Linked DNA regions of Drosophila melanogaster. Each later gene encodes a partner of the first gene's protein in a complex. Each region holds a gene or a part of one and is shown in the gene's direction. Other genes may lie near its edges. The genes, in order: dgt4, dgt3, dgt5 and wac.

Region 1 (3,365 bases):
TCTTTCGCTGCGGTCCCCACGGAACGGACTTCTCCTCGATGGGCTTGCCATCCGCGTCCACTTGCGGCTCAGCTGCAGGCTGCTTGGCCGTCTCGTTCAGCTTTACCAGCTCCACCACATCGTTCTTTTCGAAGCTTAGCTGACGACGCTTCTCCAACACGGCTACAAAGAAGCCGCCGCTGTCCTGGAGATGCGGCAATACGCGGAGGCACTTCTCCAACCCGATCTTGGCCATCTCGTCGGCCGGCAGAGGGAACATACCGGGCCGTATTATAGTGTGCAGGCTTTCAGGCACTTCCTCAAAGCGGGTAAAGATCTGGTCCACCTCCTTGGTGGCCAGCTTCCAGTCGGTCATGCCGGGCTTGTACTTAAGACCTGGCACCAAGTGCCCCGCATCCACCAGCTCCAATGCACCGTCGGCATCCTTTATGATCCGCTGCAGCACCGCCTCGTTCTCGATGGGATTCAGTGAGCAGGTGGAGTACACCAGCCTTCCGCCAACCTCCAGCATCTCAGCGCCACGACGTACGATGCGGTATTGAATGCCGTGGAGGTTGTAGGCCTGTGCCAGGTTCCACTTCAGCCAAATGTCTGGATTCTTGCGCAGTGTGCCGTCGCCGGAGCAAGGTACATCGCACAAGATCTTATCGAACTTAAGGATCGCCTTTGAGCCGTCCGGCTTCGTGGTCACGAGATTGGGAAAGACACTGCTGTCGTGGTTGGTCACCAACAGGCAGGGCGAGTTTAGACGCTTGGCTTGGTGAACCAGCATGTAGCACCGATTGTTGTCTACATCGTTGGCCAGCACAAAGCCGGGCGGAATCTTGTGCTCCTCGGGAGCAGCGTGCAGAGCCTCAATGAGCTGGGCTGTCTTCGAACCTGGCGCAGCACACATGTCCAAAACTTTGTCCGTGGGTCGGACATCCAGGACAATTGGCGGGATCATGGATACGGCCTCCTGCCTGCTGATGCCGCCCGCCGTGGTCTCCACAATTAGGAAGTTGTGCAGCCGGTAGAGCGGCTCCGAGCGTCGAATGTCCTTGCGGGTAAGGTGCAGCTGGTAGGCCAGTCCGTTTGGATACCACGGCAGGCACAGCGGACGTTCCACATCCTCGGGCGCCTTCTGGTGCAGCTCGGCCACCGCCCTCACATACTCGGTGAATAGCTGCGTCTCAATAATGGATAGCAGGGCTTTGGCCTCGTCCTTGAATCCTGTCACACGGAAAGTAGTGGGCAGATTGTCCCTGATGGAAGCAAGGAACTGCGTCCACTCCTCATCGGTGGCGCAGATCTTCTGCAGTTGGTAGTACTTGATGAAGAAGGCATTATCCCTTTTGATCTCCTCATACGGCTGGGCCTGACGATCGGTGCGCTTGGGACCCTTTAAGATAAAAAATATATTTAAGAATAAAATCCAAAAACGTGGAATGTTTCTCCTTTCAAATTGAGGTGACTCACATTCTCCCGCTTTTGACGTTTGCGAGCCGCGAAAAAATTTTGCTTCTGGTTTCGACCCATTTGTCAATATCAATACCAAGTTATCAGTCCACTGAATATGTTTAAAAAAAATTAGGCAAGCGTTGTGTGTTTTCTAAACGAAACGAATAGTTAAAACGTGTTCGTCGCCTAACTGGCAACGCTGTCGCGCGAGAGTCGCCGGACATTTGGTGCTTGGAAGGGAAGGTGAAATATGCTGCTAAAGAAGTGAAATTGAATTGAAAGGGAATTACTTTTTACAGTACTTGGTTTCCGTGCTGCAAGGAATTGACTTGTTTTTAAACGTTAACTTCATTTGCATGGCTTACATTTTTAGCCCCAAAATCAATAAGAGCTGGTTTCCCAACTATCGGTAAGCAAAATCAAACAACTTATTTCAGTTTTCTAGAAACTTTAAAAACCTGTTAGTTTATGTAAGGAAACCTACATATCTTGTTGTTATTTACATTTTCGAATTATTTTCATTTTTTTTTTATATAGTTATTAATAGCCAAATTTGACTCGAACATAGCTACGCGCCTATCGTTACAAAAATCTCCGTTAGCCGACTTCAAATGCTACCGATAGCAGCTGCGAAAGCGATAGCGTCGGCAATCGAATCCGAATTTCCCACTTTAAAAACTAAGAAGTTTTTGTAAGCCACTATGGAAACTCCACCCACTCCCACCACGACCACACCGCCATCATTGACAACTGAGGGCACCATGGACGACATCCAATACCTGCTGCACCTGGAGGCGATGCGCCGTTTTCAGGAAGACAGCCGCAATGTAAAGCGCCAGGTGGAGGAGCAAGTACGCATTTGGCTGGACGCCAAGTGTGAGTATCAGCGGGACTTTGGGCGGCTGGCGAGGCTCCTGAAGTGCGGAGCCCTGCAGGCGGCCGTGGATGCCCATCGTGTATCTGATGTGAATCAAGTCGACCAGGCGGCCAAGGATATCGCTAGTTTGCGATCCAAACTGGGCAGTGATCTGCGTCCCGCCATTCTGGACTCCAACGATGTGAAGCAGTGCCTGGAACATCTGAACACCACCCACAAACCGCGCCTAAATCTATGCCGGCAACAACGGGAGTTCGCCCAGAACCAAGAAGCTCTAAGAAGTTTGCGTACCGCCGTCGATGGATTGGAGAATGGTATGGAGATGGGCATGATACAGGCAATGGACCGCCTTGTGGAGGATCTTCTCCCACCGCGGGAAACAAACAACTAGCCGGTCGTCTCAAAAGTATATATAATATTGTATGATATAAACTAGTTTATAACATTAAAAACGGAAACTGTAAATGAAAACTACAAGCTACAACGAAGCCAGGATCATCCGATGAAGAATATTGGTAGCGGAAATCTAAAAACAAAAAAAAACGGATTCAAAGCTGTTTAAACTCAGTTATTTATACGGAGAAGATGAGGAGATTACCATTTGGAGCGCTTGGACCAGTCTTTGGGTGTCCAGTGCAGGCATTTCGAGTCGATGCGGATCTTGCGCTTGTCCATTGCTCGCCGGTGTTGCTCGATGATAACCCGGTTGATGCACACGATGTACTGGCCCTTGTAGTAGTTGATCAGGTTCAGGTTCTGCAGCGTTGAGATCACGTCCTCTTTTTTGATGGATGTGCATTCGCAGATGTCGCTGTGAAGAAAAATTTTGGGAGCATGATTAATCTATGTTTCGGCAATGAAGCACAATCTCTGTGGATTGAAAATTGTATTACTTTAAGCTTAGAACTAGCCATACTTTATAGTTATAGTGGGCTTTTCGCCGTCCGTGCTCGGGTTTTGGCTGATAAAGATCTCCAGTATGGTTTGCGCCCAGTACGATCGATAGGACAGCAAACCCAGATCAGACAATGGTTTCTCCGGCGATCCC
Region 2 (4,654 bases), on another chromosome or scaffold:
ACGCGTTTTGCGCGCACTCTCCAATTACGCATAAGCCCCTTTGCAGAAACCGATTAACCGTTAGTTTAGCAAGTATAATTGAATTTTTTATAACAGCAACAGCAAATAAAAAGCGACGGAATTTTTCTCAAAATGTTTTGTACGGTATTTTTTTAGTGACTGCCCGTCGCTGGCCATATTTAGCAGCTCTTCGCTGCGAATGGCAATGGCACTGTTATCGATTAATCGGCCATCCCTATTGGCACAATGATAGTGGGTTTTTGTTTTTTGAAATTTTATTTCACACACTCCGTACATCGGTTACAAAAATCAGGATAGACCCTTAATCAATAATAATGCATCCTTGGGATTACTTGGTCGGCTGCTTCGCTTGCTTCTCCTTCTTGGCAGCCTCGGCCTCCGCCTGTACCTTTGTGTACTTCTCGATCAGCTTCTCCACATCGGGTTTCTCCAGGACACTGTATACGGTCTTATTGTCCACACGCTGCAGCGTGGCCATCTCGACCTTCTCCGGGGTCAGCTTGGTGGTGTCCAGGGTCATGCTCAGTACCTTGATGGCCAAATCCTTGGCGTCCGCCAGCGTCAGCTTCACGTTCTCCTTATCGGCCAGCTCCTGCTTCAGCATGGAGATCGCGGCACCGAAGTTGTTGCCAATACAGGTGGCCTTCCATCCGCCGTAGTTGCCGCTGGGATCCGACTGGTACAGTTGGTAGCCGTACTTGTTGTCCCATCCCATGTAGAGCAGCGAGACGCCGAAGGGACGCTTTCCGCCGTACTGAGTGTACGCCTGTTTGATGTCGCAGAGGTGCGACACCAGCTGCTCGCAGGGAATCACCTCGCCGTAGCTGAACTGGTAACGCTGGGCAATCAGACGCAGTTCTGAGGTCAGCACATTGGCATCGGAGGTGATGCCAGCCACCGAGCAGACCATGTTGCTGAGGGAAAACAAAGAGGCTTGGATAGAGATAGATTCGTAGAGAATGTAGTGGGTAATTAAGATCATGGCCAGTTAAATATATGGCCTGTGACCCTTGAATTCATCGTAGGATATACTACTGAAATTTCAACTCACTCGTTCAGGCGATAGATCTTCTCCGAAGGAATGGCGCTGTCCAGCAATTTGTTTGTGCTGCGGCACTCGGCTGCCAACAGGATGCCGTCCTCGGCGAGGATTCCGAGGCAGGTTCCGGCGTGCGAGATGGCCTCCATGGCGTACTCCACCTGGTACAAACGGCCCTCCGGCGAGAAGATCGTGGTGCGGGAATCATAGCGGCGAGCCTGGGAAAATACACGCAAGTCAATTACTACCACGATTGCTAGCCTTCAATGGTCATCGGCCCAATGGTGGCTCTCAGACCAATACCGGTCTTCTGGGCGCGGTACTTACCATTGCTAAGGAATATACCAATTTACAAGTTTATTTTGCAAAACGAACAGAATTTACTTGTCATTCAGTGTAGGGTTGCCAGACTGCCACACGAAGTGCGTCCAAAGCGGTACCAGGGCTGCAAACTAGATGGCGTTAGGGTGTTTCTATTTACCAGGGGTGGTGTGCACGTTTATCCACATATCGATATAAGGTATTAAAATCATTTTAACAAAGATCAATTTATAAGCCCTTTAAGATTGAGGTGTACTAAAACATAATATTTACTTGAATTAAACTTAAGAACTTGTGTCAAATTTAGAAAAATTGTATCCTTACTTCATAGCAAAAATTTAAAATAATTCATATATAAAATATATATATATAATAAACAGAAATTTATTATATATATATATATATATATATATATATTATATATATTATATATATATATATATATATATATATATATTATATATATTATATATATATATATTTAACAGAAATAGATAAGAGTAAATATTTCATGAAATCGTTGATAGGAAATCAGGAATTTCTACGATTTTTATTAAGCTTAATTATTAAGCACTATTTCCTGTTAATTTTCAAAAGGTACCATCTCTAGTAACGTCTCTGAAACCTTTCGATATAACCGATAAGTAATCAGCTTGTGTTGTCATTTTTTTAAAAGATGGGCGATCTGCTGAGCGTATGTGTGATGATTTAATTAATGATCAGCTTATAATCGCCATGATTGCAGAACTCGGAATTCTTCAAGAAGCTGGGAGTGGACAGCTCGAACCAGTGGATTCTGTACGATGAGCAGATGGAGATGTTCTTCAAGTTCCTGTCCGGGAACATCACGGATGCAAATATCCTCACAGAGCGACAGGTTCTGGAGCGGGAGGAGATGCAGCGGCGGGGCGAGTGGCTAAGTGCTTCGGATCGCGAGCTCAAGCTCCTGCAAATCGAGGCCGAAAGTCCGGGGCTTCTCAACTACAAGCAGCAGGATGTCGACGCCTTGACCATGAGCATTGAGGCGATCGAAGATGCCTCAAGGGATTATGCTACGCTTCTGGAAGATATGATGTAAGGGAAAAACTGTAACCTTCCTCATATATGTTCGATCGATGGTCAATCCACTTTTGCAGGACCACAAAGCACTCGATAACTAAGCACCTAGGCGAGGTGGAGTGCGTCACCGCCGAGTTGCAACTGAGGGAGAAGGATCTGATAGCCGAGTGCCAGTCCAAAGCCAAGCAACTGGAGGAACTGCAGCAGGAGAACTGCCGGCTAAGCGCCGAAGCCAAAAAGGCATTCACCGCCCCACAGTTGCCGCCTCTATTCATGCATCAACTGCCATTGGAGCAGTATTTCCACAAATGCGATTCATTTATGCAATACTTTACTCTGTATGTGAAGGAGAATTTTAAGATCCAGGACTATGATGAGTTCCAGAGCGCGGAGGAAGATCTTGGGCGCGAAAAGGCCAAGCTGGAGGACTTGGAACGTGGGTAAGCACAAAGGTTCTGTGCTAAAAACAATGCACATTAATTGATATGACCGTTTTTACAGCATCCAGTTTTATGCACTATCCTACATAAGAACAAAGGCCAAGGTGAAGGCCACGCAGTGTCTTATTGACCAGTTGGATCTTGGCAAGATTCACTGCCTCAGTTTAACGGACATGGCGCGTGAAATGCACGATCTGCAGCTGCTCAACGACTATCAACTGAGCAATACACACGATACGCTTTTAAACGATCTAACCATTCACATTCAGCAGCACACCCAGCGACGTATTGAGCTGGTTCTCTACGAGAACACTAAACTGAAGTTGGAAAGAGCTGTTCGACGTCATGAAAGCGACAAGAAGCTCACTAAAATCATCTCAGATGCTCTGTCCAATGCGGAATTGCTGTGGATTGCGATCCAACTGGACTGCGACAAGAAGCGCAACTGCCTGGACACTTCGGAGGAGTTGCGCGACCAAGCGCAGGCCACTTGGCAAAGAATCCAGACCATGCGCTCCATTAACGCCAGTTATCAGGGCATTTGTGCCCAGTTTGTGCAGGAGATTGCCAATTTGTTGTCAGCCCACTTGGGACAGAACATAAAGGCAACTGAGGCCAAGGCTTGTCTCTTCGAATACGAAAAGTTCGGTCGCCTGCTGTCTTACTCCTTTCAGAGCATGCTGAACCGAAAGTCGTGTGCTGCTGTTCAGGATCAACTGGCAGAACTGTAAGTTGCAATACTTAACTTTGATACAGATCGTTTAAGCTATTAATATTTTTTTTTAGCAAGCGCTTGGAGCAGACTTTGCGGCCGTTTGTCTATGATTCCCCATTGGAGCAGCCCATGTTTGAGAACGTTCGCTACTTGAGCGCCATATACAATGTCACCCAGCAGCAAACTCGCCTGGATGAGTCAGGGCGTTCCTTGCGAAAAGATTTCCTGGAAAATGTCGTGGGGCGCATTGTAAGTATACTAATTAACTATAAAATCATGGAATATAACATTTTAATGTTGTTTATCCTTTTAGGAGCGGGATAAACTGTATCGCTATAGCGTAGTCCTGTGGATTTGGTTTCTCACTGAGCCGCAGCGCATGATGCATGCAATTGATGAGGTCAAAAAGGCAGCCGCTGCAGTAATTCGTCCAGGTGGTGGTCTGCACCGCAAGTGAACTTAGTTGATTTAGAATCTGGTCAGTAAATAAATGTTAAATTATTCAAAAATAAACATTACGGCGTTGCTAGTCTAATAATAAGTCAATACACTAAATTTAGGGATGCTGTATAATGTGTGTATGTAAAGATTCTTAGGCAGCAACATGATTTACTTTTGCTTACGACTTTGGTAATTGTTTTCCCCCCTTTGAAATGCCTTTTCCCTGGGCTATCAGATTTGGGTTCACTAAACACCGGGCGTATTAAGGCAGCATCGTCTTAAAGCAGTCTACACGAGTGCCACCAAAGAGACGCATTAATTGCTGGCGGCACGCGACGGCGTTTCCAAGCGATTACCATTCAGATTTGGCCAAGGAGCAACAAGTGAGGCCATAAAACCTTGTTCGCCTAACCTAGAGATTCACTTTCCGTGCAGACGAAGTCATTTGCCCGCCGATTTGCAGGACTCTCATTGGCTGCCGGCATTCGGGCTGCAGGACGAGTTTTGCCGAGCAGAGGTCCTTGCGGATATAAAAGGACCAACAGTTGTGGCCACTGGTTCACTCGATTATCGTGCTTCGGGCCATCTTTCCCCTCGTGACTTCCGGTAATACAATTG
Region 3 (7,844 bases), on another chromosome or scaffold:
TCGAACTGCCGTGAGTCGTGGGCCAAGCCAAAGAAGGCATCGTACGCCAGTTGCAGGCCATTGAGATCTGCCAGGCGTTCTTTCAGCGAGACGAATGGTTGCTCCTCCGCACACTTGATGGCATCCCGAAAAGGCTTCGACTCCCGGATCTCCAAGCCCACAGGTGACTCATTTCCAGCTGCATCGAAGAGTATACCTTCCTGTTCAAAGGCGTGGTTCATCTCGTGGCCCAGGACTGCGCCCAGAAGACTGTGCTGGAAGATGGTGTGCTCTCGGTGATCGAACAAGGGCCACTGCAAAAATTCCATGGGAACAGTAATGGTGTTCCTTTCGTTCTCATAGAAGGGAGAAGTGCGAGCCTTCCTTACGTTATCGTTGACATAATAGTGCCGCAGATCCACTCGAGAATTCCTTGCAAGCAGTCCAGCATTCTGGAGACGGGTACGTAGGGCAAATGCTTCAAGGAGATTGGCCAGGAAGTTTGTCGCGGAAAAGTTCGCACTTCCATAGTGGTTATTATAGAACTCAGGAGATTTCTCCTCAGGCAAATTTCCTATTTTGATCTGAATACCTTCCAACTTTGCTCTTACATAGGCCAACTGGTTTGGCGTAAGCTGCAGGCGATTGGCATCTAAATATTGGCCAAAAGCTGCCTTTAAAGTGGATAAAATCTCCAGTACCTTACTGGTATCCTCCTCCCGGTTTTGGTATATAAATCGATCATAGATGTAGTTCATGCCCAGGGGTAAATAGGCACGCATATGGTGAATGCAGCTTCTTGGATTCCGCTCCCTTGGCTCCGACTCCTCCACTAAAACATATTGGCGTGCTCGAATGTACGTGTCCTTCGGCTCACTGGCGAAATCCCGTAGACAGCGAAAACATTCCCGCAAATACTCAACATCACTCACCTCGAAAGTCAGGTGATAAAGCTCCTCGGTGTGGTTCACGCCCAATAACTCAATAAAAAAGGAATGCGGAATAGGGATTTCCTGCCTTAATTCACTGAAACTCCATGTATATACAACAGGATATTCTGCACGATACTTATCCTGCAGCTGATGCATTTTCTCCACCAGTTTAACCACTCCCATCGAGTACCACGCTTCTTCGTAAAGGCGCATGAGCTGCAAGACACGGCGGTCACTATATCTATCAGCCGGGTCAGGCATCCTTAACTGAATAACCCAACGCATGGAATCATTGGCGGCCACATCAACTCGCTCATCAATGAATACACCATTCAAGCCGTATACGAGAAATTTTTTAGGATGCAAAATCCACTGATTGACCAGTTCTTCGGGACGAGGATTCCCGTGAAGCTTTCGCGTATCCTCCTTGCAGGCCTTGTAGTATTGTCGCATTTGCTTTATCAGTCGGGGTGCCAGTGTATCGTTTTCACCCAAGTGGCTCTCCATGAATTCCACCATGGCAGTGGCGAACTGATCCTCGACTCGCTCAAAGTTGTCCACATATTTAGAGGCACTGGAGAAGCGACCGCAGGCAAAATTCCAGAAATTCGTGCACGGTGATGTTGTTCTATTGAGATTATTGTGAATATCGTTCGACGTTGCCACGTTGATGTCCACTATTGCCTGGATGGGAATGAATAATGCCACCAGGCAAGAGCACAGTAAAAGTAAACATCCCATTAAGCTCGCTCGATTCACAATGAAACAACAGATTATCGCAACGCTCTGCTGAGCTCGGCCACCTTCGAACTACCTATAGAGCTTTGGGGCTGATAGTGACAGCTTGGTCAATACTAGAATTCACATTTGAAATGTAGAGCAATTACCTCTAATGAAATGTGCCTGCCACCTATATAAACCCGCTTGGTGAGTACATTAAACCGATCTTAACGTTTATTGAATCTTAATTACACCGCTGTTGTAGTTCAATCTTCAATCGTTCGCTAAGACAGTTCGCAATATAAAATTGGTAATCGCGTCGGGACTACCCCAACTATATGTCACACGCTTATAGTCTACTTAACAAAACTGGATCTAAGGTGTTCACTTCTTGAACTTTTGCTTCTTTCCCGCATTCGCACCCGCCGTGGACTTTTTCAGCTGGCCGATCTGTTTGGATTTTTGCTTCAGCTTGTTCTGCTTCTTGATGGGTTTTCCCTCGAGAATGGGCACATCGTCGATATCCACTCGCGGCGCCTTGGCCAGTTTGGCGTTTCCCTTGGGCGACTGTTTTCCTTTCGGCTGTGGCTTCGTTTTCGTTTCCTTAATTGCTGATTTGCTAGGGGAGTTTGTGCCATTGGTTGTTGGCTTATTGTCATCTGGTTTAGCTGGTGATCCGGCTCCATTTTCCTTGGGTTGCGATCCTTTGTTCTTTTTATTGAATGATTTCGCATCTGAATTGGAAACAGTGGTTTTCCCATTGGTTTGTTTTTGTTTAGGTGCAGACTTGGAAGGTGACTCGCTTGAATTTGTTTGCTTGTCCGGTGCCTGGGATTTCTCATTTTTCTTCTCTGCTGGCTTTTCTGGCTTTGGCTTTTTGACAGGCTGCTCAAACACCTTGGCCACATACTTGGTCTTGCTCTCTTCCCGCTTCTTTTTCTTCAGTTCCTGTTCGATTTCGGTGAAACTGGGTTTTCCGGCGCGCTTTCCAAGCAGTTTTCGGGGACCCTTCTCCTTTGACGCTACCTCCTCCTCCACCTCCTCAGACTCCGCAGCCGCTTCTGTAGTGGCGTCCGCTTCGATGGCCTCATCCAGCTGCTTTTCATCCTCCTCCTGCTGCTCCTTAGTTATGGGTATGGTGTTGGAGAATTTCTTGAGCTTGGCCACGTAGAACCCGTCCATGTTGTGGGTGTGCGGATAGTAGCGCTTGGTAAGGTTTAAGCTAGGATGGAACCGATGCTGACGGAATTTGGTAAAGCCCTCCACGCCGAAGTCCAGACCAGTGGGCACAAGTTTGACATTTCGCTTCTTCAGTGCATAGTCGATGACCCATTCGTTCTCCTCGGGCAACACCGAACAAGTTGAGTATACAATGTAGCCGCCAGTTGATGACTTCGCATCCGTACAATCTATGGCAGTCAGCAGAAGCTTCCTCTGCAGGTTGTAGCACCTTTGTACATCTACTTCCGACTTGGTGGTCTTCACACTGGGATCCTTAGAGACGACGCCAGTTCCAGTGCACGGAGCATCCAGCAGGACACGGTCAAAGCCAGTCATAATATTCCGGAACTTAGTGCCATCCTCGCAGCTGACCACTGCATTTACAATTCCCAGGCGATGGAAATTGGCAACAATGGCCTTGATGCGATCCCTGTTAGAATCGTTGGCGAAGAGCACACCAGTGTTCTTCATGATGCTTGCGATGTGGGATCCCTTTCCACCTGGGGCGGAGCACATGTCCAGGATGCGTTCGTTCTCTTGCGGGGCGAGTGCCATTACAGGCAACAGCGAAGAGGCGCCCTGGATCATGTAGTGGCCAGCCAGATACTCTGGAGTTGCACCCAGTGGCACCTGTGAGTTAAAGACAACCAATCCAACTTTCGTCCATTTACCAAGGGGATCCAAGTTGACGCCACGATTGATCAGAGCTCCGGCCAAATCCCTACGACGTGTTTTTAGAGTATTGGTGCGTATGGTTAGGGGACGAGCAATCTAAAGGGGTTAATTTTTAATGATTAATCTTGTAACTATATTTTTTATGAAATATACTAACCTCTGAGGCCTCCAGATATTCCATTAGCTCTGTCAGCGGCAACATATCCATCAGCTTCTCCATCAAAAATTCGTTGTAGCTGTAATACAAACACAGATCCCTGCGCAGCAAATCGATGTACTCCCCGCGAGACCTATCCGCTTGACGATACCTTTTGAAGTCGGAAAGAACCAGACTGACGTCCTTTATGCGCTGTTGCACTTCCTGCAGGGTTAGGTCCTTCTCGGTTTCTTCGCCTTCGACGGGTAGCTGGAAAACATCCTGCTTGTCAACGGTTTCCAACATTTCGTCGTCGGCCAGTTGGGCTTCCTCTGCCTCGCGCTTTTTCAACTTCTTGTTAGCCCGCTCGATGGGCAGCTTGTCATCATCATCATCATCATCATCATCGTCGTCGTCCTCATCCTCCTCTTCATCACTGTCTGCCTGAGCACCATCTTCCTCGCCAGATATGTCAAAGTCATCGTCGGAGTTGGCATCATCATCGTCGGATAGATCGGCCAGCTTGCCAACCTGAGCGGTATCATCATCAGATTCCAATCCTTCCTCATCGTCTCCCTCCTCTTCCTCTTCACATTCTTCTCCCAACTCATCTTCGGAGTCCTCCTCCGACTCCTCATCCTCCTCCTCCTCCTCCTCGGACTCCGTTTCTGGCTGCTTCTGTTGCTTCTTGGGCTTCAGCCAGGCATCATTATCATCTGTAAAACCCTTGGGAGCTGTAGCTTTCTGGCCCTTCGGAGCCGGCACCAGTTGAGGCACCTCCTCATCGGAGGATGCAACCTGTGGTTCCTCTTCATTATCCTCAGGATCGCTGTCGCTGTTGTAGGCCGTCTTCCGCTTAGCCGGTTGTGGTAACTTTCCCTTGGCCCTCTTCTCCTGTAGTTTGGCCTTCTGGACTACTTTCTTTTGCTCTCGCTTAACGAACCTCTGCTTCTGTCGGTGGGAAAGCTTCTTGTCCTCCTCTTCCATGGGAGCTGTGAAGTAAAACATTTGAATTGAACACCCATTGAATAGGGTAATATTCAGGAGCTCTCACCAAACGATTGTTTGCGAAAAACAGGCGGTCCTTGCTTGCGCGCCTTGCGCCCAGGTCCCTTTTTCGGTTTCTCACTGTATTCAGCCTTCCGACCCATATTTTTAACTTAGTTTATCCAGTTTCTTGGAGCAGAACTTAAAAAAAAACGTGAGCACTTCGATTTTGCTCCACGTGCGCCGCTCAAAAGACAGCGAGTGTTTTCCAGCACTGGTCAGAGGGAATTGCTTGAGCCAGTGCTGTCAACTTTTCAGCTTTTAACTAGCTATGAACAATGTTTTTTTTTCAACATATATTAATAACTAATAAAATTATATATTACTTTAAATTTTATTTTGTCGGACTTTGCTTGATTCTTACACAGTTTATTTATACAGATTACGTTAGTATATATATTTGGAAAACACGTGGAACTTTTTAATTAAGATATTTTAGCTACTTGCTCTCCCAGCTGTTTAGCAGCAAACGTATTTCTCAGCACTATAAAAACGAGTTGGTAAACTAATTGGTAAATCCAAAAATATCATAAATAAAAAAAATCTGGAATATATCTAATTAACAGAATTCTTGCTTATAAGTAAGTATTATATCCATTCAATAATTAGATATGATCTTTAGTTGTAATTTAAAATGAAAAATTAATTTAAATAACCGTTATAGTTGCTGCCAACTTGATGCGAATAGTAGTTTGTTGACAACCCTGCCATATTTGATTGTGTTGGTGAATGGCTGGTTCAAACGACTGCGCCTTTTTGCGAAAAATTTAATTAGTTGCAAATCATGGCATACCAGGAGAAAATAACAGAATTTAAGAACTGGGCCACTAATCTTGGCTGCCCGCCCACTGCCCTGCCCACCGATGATGCACTCCGAAGGTAAGTTACAGCTGTGTTAGGCAAATCGGCAACTATCCGTACTTAAAACCCGCTTTTTGCTTCACAGAATTTTTAAGTCCGGCTCCAGTTTACTTTTGAACCAGCTGCAATCCCGCATCCAGCCGGTGGATTACGTGCGGGAGGTGCGCGAGAACCTGCTGATTGCCCAAGTGGCTCGCTACAAGGACAAAATGGTGCCGCTGGCCTCTAGGAGTTTCCAGCCACCGGAGCTCCAGAGGTACCAAAAAATACAGGAGCTAAAGAAGCACAAGGAGAAGGCGAACCAACAGCTTACGGAGGCCCGAAAAGAGTACCAAAAGCTATCTGCCGGCATCAAGACCAAGAGTGGGTATAAAGTGAACATACTGATAACCTTGACGTCAATTTAATGCGGTGAATCCCATACAGACATTCAAACCATCAGTGCTGAGAACCGGAAGCAACTACTTGAATCCAAATGCAATATCCTTGACCTGAAGCTGGAGTCGCTGAATAAGAACTACGACCAGGAGTTGAAGAACAAGATCCAAATCTTGGGCACCACGCCCGTGAAGCTGAGTGCTAGAAATGCCAGCGAGGCGCAGGCAACAAGGGCTGTGGAGCAGGCTCTCAAGCAGCTGGAGACCTTCTATGGAATGTGTGACGATGGCAATGCGGTGAACAATTTAGCCGAGGCCAAGCAGCGATTATGGGATCAGATGCGGAGCACCTTTGCGGATATTCCCAACTCCCTGCTTCTGAACGTGGTAATGAAGATCAAAGAGGAGCAGCTGCAGCACATCATGAAGCTGAATGAATCCAGAGGCGAATGCACAAATGATAAGCCACCGCTGAATAACTATGAGGTCAAGTTACTAAAGACCAAGGCCGATATGCTGGGTCTGGCGGCCAAATATTTCGCGGCCCAAAAGGAGCTGGAACTGAAGGAGGAACGCTTTTGCCAAGACTACAGCGTCTTTGTGGACAAACTGCAATCAAAGGTATACAGATTTAATGGCATAAGTTTGGGCGACGAGGAAAATGCGGATGAACTGATTAGCGACTATCTGGTGCAGTACAACATGCGCAATTTTAATCGCTCCCAAAACGAATTCCTTCGTGAGCAGATTGAGCAACTGCGTCTGGAGCTAGATGCGGGCGCCAAGCAGCTGGAGAATCACGATCTAAAGCTAGGCTCTGTGAAACAAGTATACGGCGACATTAACTCCAGCATCAATCGCATCCAGCAAGATATGGTGCAGCTGTCACAGATCAAGGAGAAGATCCTGTTTTCGCGAAATATGATGAAGAACCTGCTGGACGATATGCAAGCGGCCACACAGAAACAAAACGCCAAGTCCCAGCTGATGAGCACTAAGCTAAAAGTCAGCAATATGTCCATGTTGGGTGCGGAGAGTTTTTGCCTGGCCAATGATAGTGTGTTCTCCAGCACCAAGGTGGAGTTCGATGGCAACTGCAGCGCAATAAACTCAACGATGCGTCGCAGTTTTGACAACAAAACGCTAGTGCCGGGCGGAGCAGCATCTACCACACTGATGGCTGCATCCGGAGCCACGCTACCATCGCATTTGCTGGAATTCAATACATTTTTGGAAATACCGCTGGAAAAATTTAGCTGTACGCCGCGCGCCTGGTGAGAGCATACTTTAGCTGAATGTGCTATTTCCAATTAATCCAGAGTTCATGTTTTTTCCGACAGCTCCTTCCTGTTGTCGGCCAATCCACTCATCGTCGAGGCCCAGGAGTTGGCCTCCACCGTTCAACTGGCACCAGGCTATTTGCTAACACCCTTCGGCGCTCTGCAGGAAGTCCGAAAACGCATTTTGTGGGCGTCAGCAATTGCCGCACACACGTCTGAGTTGAAATTGAATTTGCAGCCGTTAATTGGTAAGCTCGATTCCGACATTTTGTCTCATATCCGTCTGATAGAAAACGTATCACCCTGCTCCCCAGTTGATCCGCACGATTTGAGACTGAAGGCGAGTCGTCAGCACGAGGAAATTGACCAATTGCTGGACAACCTGATGGCCATTGGGGTGAAGACTCAGTTGCAGCTGGAAAAGGCCGAGCGCATCTATCAGTTCCTGCTTGAGAATCCATTGCGACGCTACGTTCCACCCAGTAAACGATACAACAATGGCAGTTTCGCGGACTACGAGTCCGAATTCAATCTCTACTATCGCATGACCACCAATGGAAGTTCGATGCGAGCGCCACCTAATTAAGTACGTTATTTGTGTTGTGAATACTGTAGC
Region 4 (3,027 bases), on another chromosome or scaffold:
TTGCACAGCCTCTTGTCGTACTTCTAGGGGTCAGATGATCAGAGATAAAATGTTGTTGCTGTAACTTGTTCTACTAACCAGAATGATAACGTTTCTCATTGTGCGTTACTTTGCGCTGTGTGCGTCGTTGACGATGCTGACTATTATTAGTTGACTGTTGGTTCTGAAAAGCACTTGGTTCGCGAGTGTTCTGATACCCGGGATCGCCGACTGCTCCACCCTGCGGTCGCATATTTTCGTAGCCAGGAGCCCCAGCATTTCCGCTCTGTGGTGCCGATGACAAGCTCATGGCGGCTTGCTGATGGAAGTCAATTTTTTTGGAATGTCTTTGCTGCGAGGAGGACAGGGAGGGCACTTCAGTCACATAACTGTAGCCCTCGCTGGACACAATGACGCCGTCGTTATTGATGTTTCCGTGGTTGGTGCTGTTGTTGGCATTTTTAACGTTGTAGTATGGCGGTGGCGGCGTACTTTTCACTTTATCGCCTGTTCACAACAAAAGGATCAAGAACTTTCTGGTGACGACCAAACGACCAAATATCAATGTTTTCGAACATACCTTCTGGCTTCTTTAGGAACGGCTGCAACAGCTTCGCCCTTTTCTTTTCGTAGCCTTTCTGCGTAATGTCACCTAGAAAAGCAGATGGAATTGTTTTCTTAACGATTAATATGTCCGCTGGGCCTCGTCGTTTTTTGAAAAGCGTGGAGTAGCGACTGAATCATGTATTCATGCTGAAAGCCACACAACACAACACACACACTTTTCTTTTAATTGGTCGGTCCCCGACTATATGTGGGCAGCTTTCAGCGAAAGAAAAGCCGAGAACAGCACTTGTAATCCCATTTGGGGGCGACAAGTATCCAATGATTTGAATCAGACCAGACTACGTCTGCCACAGTTTTCACGCGATTTTCTACAACTCAGTCGCCGCACTTTAACAACAATATTTTATTTTTGTGTGTATTATTCAAATAGGTATACCTTCCGACAGCTCTAAGTCCAGTTCGGCGAGCTTCTCGCGGACGTAGCCAGGCAGCGAGGCAGTGTGCTCCATGGCAGATGAAAAGTGTGGCTTTAGGGTTTTGTTCTATCCTCTTCCTTGGAGGATTCGTCTAAACTTTGGCTGGTCGCAGTACACAAACACACCCAGACACCGCTACTTTCCCACTTCGTTGTCAAAAATCGATCGATTTGCCATTTATTCTATTTCACATTTTGCCGACGCAAATAAATACATCCGTACTTGCGCAGCACCAGTACTTTGGGTTAGTTAGAAAACACGATATTACGAATGTCTTTTACGAATTTGCACAATGAAAGTAAACAAAGAAAAATAGCAGTACAAATCGATTTTATGAACTAGCGAAAAATTGATAACTATTTCTTCATACTCTTGGGACAACGGCCTTTTTCAATTTTCGAGATGCGGTCACACTGCCCAAGTAATCGAACCACGAATTTAAGTGTTATTTTTAATGATATTAGGCATAGAACCATTACAATTAAAAAGCTCTATTATTTATTACTTTAATCGCTTGTCTCTTAAAATTCGATTCAACAAAAGCAATTGGTGGCATTTTGCTAGGTAGCCCTGAAATACTGTAGAGACTATCGATATCTGCACCTAAGGCGCCTATTATCACATTCGGATTACGAAGACAAAGACATGCGAAACCTGGATACGATTAGTGGCGAAGAAAAGCAAAGTCCTGCCAACTTAGTCTAAATTGTTTCTAAGCCGGCTGCCTATACGCCTGCGTTTTGAGCAAAGCGGTAGTATCTTTTTCGGAACCATCGATAGCTTGTCATCTCCAGTAAAAATGCGTGAGTTTATTTAAAAAAAACGCTAGGCATACAACTAATTATTCTTATGATGCAGAGAACTTGAAGATCCAAGAGGAAGTCAATTCATTGATGCGTCTAGGCCAGCACTTCGATGACCAGTTAAAGCTGGCTAGCGTCGAGTTGGGCGATTTCTCGGACGATGACCTGGCGCTCCTTGACAAATGCGCCCAATATTATTCACTTTTGCACATTCACGACATCAATCTGAACTACTTGCGCGACTTCTATTGTGCCAAGAAGAGGGAATGCATAGAAAACCGGCAGACCACAGTGCAGCAACGCGTAGAGCTGCAGCGCATCCTCTCGTCCATCGAGGAGGCGACTAGGGACGTAGTTATGTTGGAGAGGTATTGGTGAACAAATCCCTTTAATAGTTGAATCCCTGACCAAAACCATTCTTCTGCAGATTTAATGCTGCTGCGGAAGAGCGGCTCATCCCGGATATCGTCGTAATGCAGCGAAACGCCCAACAGCTTGCAACAAAACAGGCCTTACTGGACCGGCAAAAAACCCTTAAGATCCCAAAGGATTTTAGCATTGAAAGTGTCATCGAGAAGGTAGATTCGCTGGAGCAGCGCTAAAGAAGTGAATTGCTTTCGTTTTTAAAAAATTATTTAATTGTATTTACTCAGTAATGCAAAACACTTTACAAAAACATAAAATCTGCAAATTTTAAAGATGAATGTTGAGGTTTACAACTTGGAACACTACACAATCAGAGGGTGCACTTATTTTGGTTATTGTACGCATTTTAAAAACGTTCCAATTGTTGCTAGGTTGTGTCAAATATTTATTTAAAGTATCATGATAGGAAAACTAGAAGACCAAATAATAATTTGCCAGCTGCTTAAAGCATACAAAAAGTGTACCGTGTTCTTCCATGCCATTGCTCATATGTATGTATTTGTGTATTTCCAATGTGGTATATGTATCATATATATTGGTGTATAGATAGAATTAGTAATTTCATATTCTTTAAGTTCTTGCTTGTTGTTATGTATATAAAGGGCGGGTATGTGGCAGACAATCTTTTCGGCTAGCAACGCGCTCCACGCCACAGGCCTACTCCACGTTTCCGGGCATCTTTTAGCGGAACTCGGGCGCATCATCTTGCGTTATGTCACCGTACTTCCAGATGGCCAGATGCGCGACCCGAGCTGCTTCCTGCGCGGCTTTGTACT

What was found.
Region 2: dgt4 (region 1) and dgt3 share a complex: the UniProt entries of both Drosophila melanogaster proteins name them as parts of the augmin complex.
Region 3: dgt4 (region 1) and dgt5 share a complex: the UniProt entries of both Drosophila melanogaster proteins name them as parts of the augmin complex.
Region 4: dgt4 (region 1) and wac share a complex: the UniProt entries of both Drosophila melanogaster proteins name them as parts of the augmin complex.

The regions. Positions count from the first base shown.
Region 1 is NC_004354.4:4,112,087-4,115,451, forward strand, and holds dgt4 (dim gamma-tubulin 4), read left to right. Parts: upstream 1-1,614; 5' UTR 1,615-1,849; intron 1,850-1,977; 5' UTR 1,978-2,141; coding exon 2,142-2,708; 3' UTR 2,709-2,842; downstream 2,843-3,365. Other genes in the region: Nsun2 (NOP2-Sun domain family, member 2), read right to left, coding at 1-1,381, 1,459-1,518; Tip60 (Tat interactive protein 60kDa), read right to left, coding at 2,843-2,843, 2,916-3,128, 3,234-3,365. UniProt on the Drosophila melanogaster protein: As part of the augmin complex, plays a role in centrosome-independent generation of spindle microtubules. The complex is required for mitotic spindle assembly through its involvement in localizing gamma-tubulin to spindle microtubules.
Region 2 is NT_033778.4:20,991,727-20,996,380, reverse strand, and holds dgt3 (dim gamma-tubulin 3), read left to right. Parts: upstream 1-1,999; 5' UTR 2,000-2,057; coding exon 2,058-2,075; intron 2,076-2,126; coding exon 2,127-2,455; intron 2,456-2,517; coding exon 2,518-2,880; intron 2,881-2,941; coding exon 2,942-3,607; intron 3,608-3,666; coding exon 3,667-3,844; intron 3,845-3,908; coding exon 3,909-4,052; 3' UTR 4,053-4,105; downstream 4,106-4,654. Other genes in the region: Prosalpha3 (proteasome alpha3 subunit), read right to left, coding at 350-935, 1,073-1,278, 1,388-1,390. UniProt on the Drosophila melanogaster protein: As part of the augmin complex, plays a role in centrosome-independent generation of spindle microtubules. The complex is required for mitotic spindle assembly through its involvement in localizing gamma-tubulin to spindle microtubules.
Region 3 is NT_033778.4:12,465,723-12,473,566, reverse strand, and holds the start of dgt5 (dim gamma-tubulin 5), read left to right. Parts: upstream 1-1,791; 5' UTR 1,792-1,838; intron 1,839-1,844; exon of another isoform or gene 1,845-2,015; coding exon of another isoform or gene 2,016-3,623; intron 3,624-3,684; coding exon of another isoform or gene 3,685-4,655; intron 4,656-4,717; coding exon of another isoform or gene 4,718-4,814; exon of another isoform or gene 4,815-4,916; intron 4,917-5,374; 5' UTR 5,375-5,494; coding exon 5,495-5,589; intron 5,590-5,656; coding exon 5,657-5,934; intron 5,935-5,997; coding exon 5,998-7,222; intron 7,223-7,288; coding exon 7,289-7,476; intron 7,477-7,542; coding exon 7,543-7,814; 3' UTR 7,815-7,844. Other genes in the region: Nepl10 (Neprilysin-like 10), read right to left, coding at 1-1,652; CG8545 (uncharacterized protein), read right to left, coding at 2,016-3,623, 3,685-4,655, 4,718-4,814. UniProt on the Drosophila melanogaster protein: As part of the augmin complex, plays a role in centrosome-independent generation of spindle microtubules. The complex is required for mitotic spindle assembly through its involvement in localizing gamma-tubulin to spindle microtubules.
Region 4 is NT_037436.4:256,571-259,597, forward strand, and holds wac (wee augmin), read left to right. Parts: upstream 1-1,605; 5' UTR 1,606-1,821; coding exon 1,822-1,825; intron 1,826-1,835; exon of another isoform or gene 1,836-1,880; coding exon 1,881-2,193; intron 2,194-2,252; coding exon 2,253-2,427; 3' UTR 2,428-2,527; downstream 2,528-3,027. Other genes in the region: DIP2 (DISCO interacting protein 2), read right to left, coding at 1-23, 79-486, 560-631, 983-1,055; Tudor-SN (tudor staphylococcal nuclease), read right to left, coding at 2,933-3,027. UniProt on the Drosophila melanogaster protein: As part of the augmin complex, plays a role in centrosome-independent generation of spindle microtubules.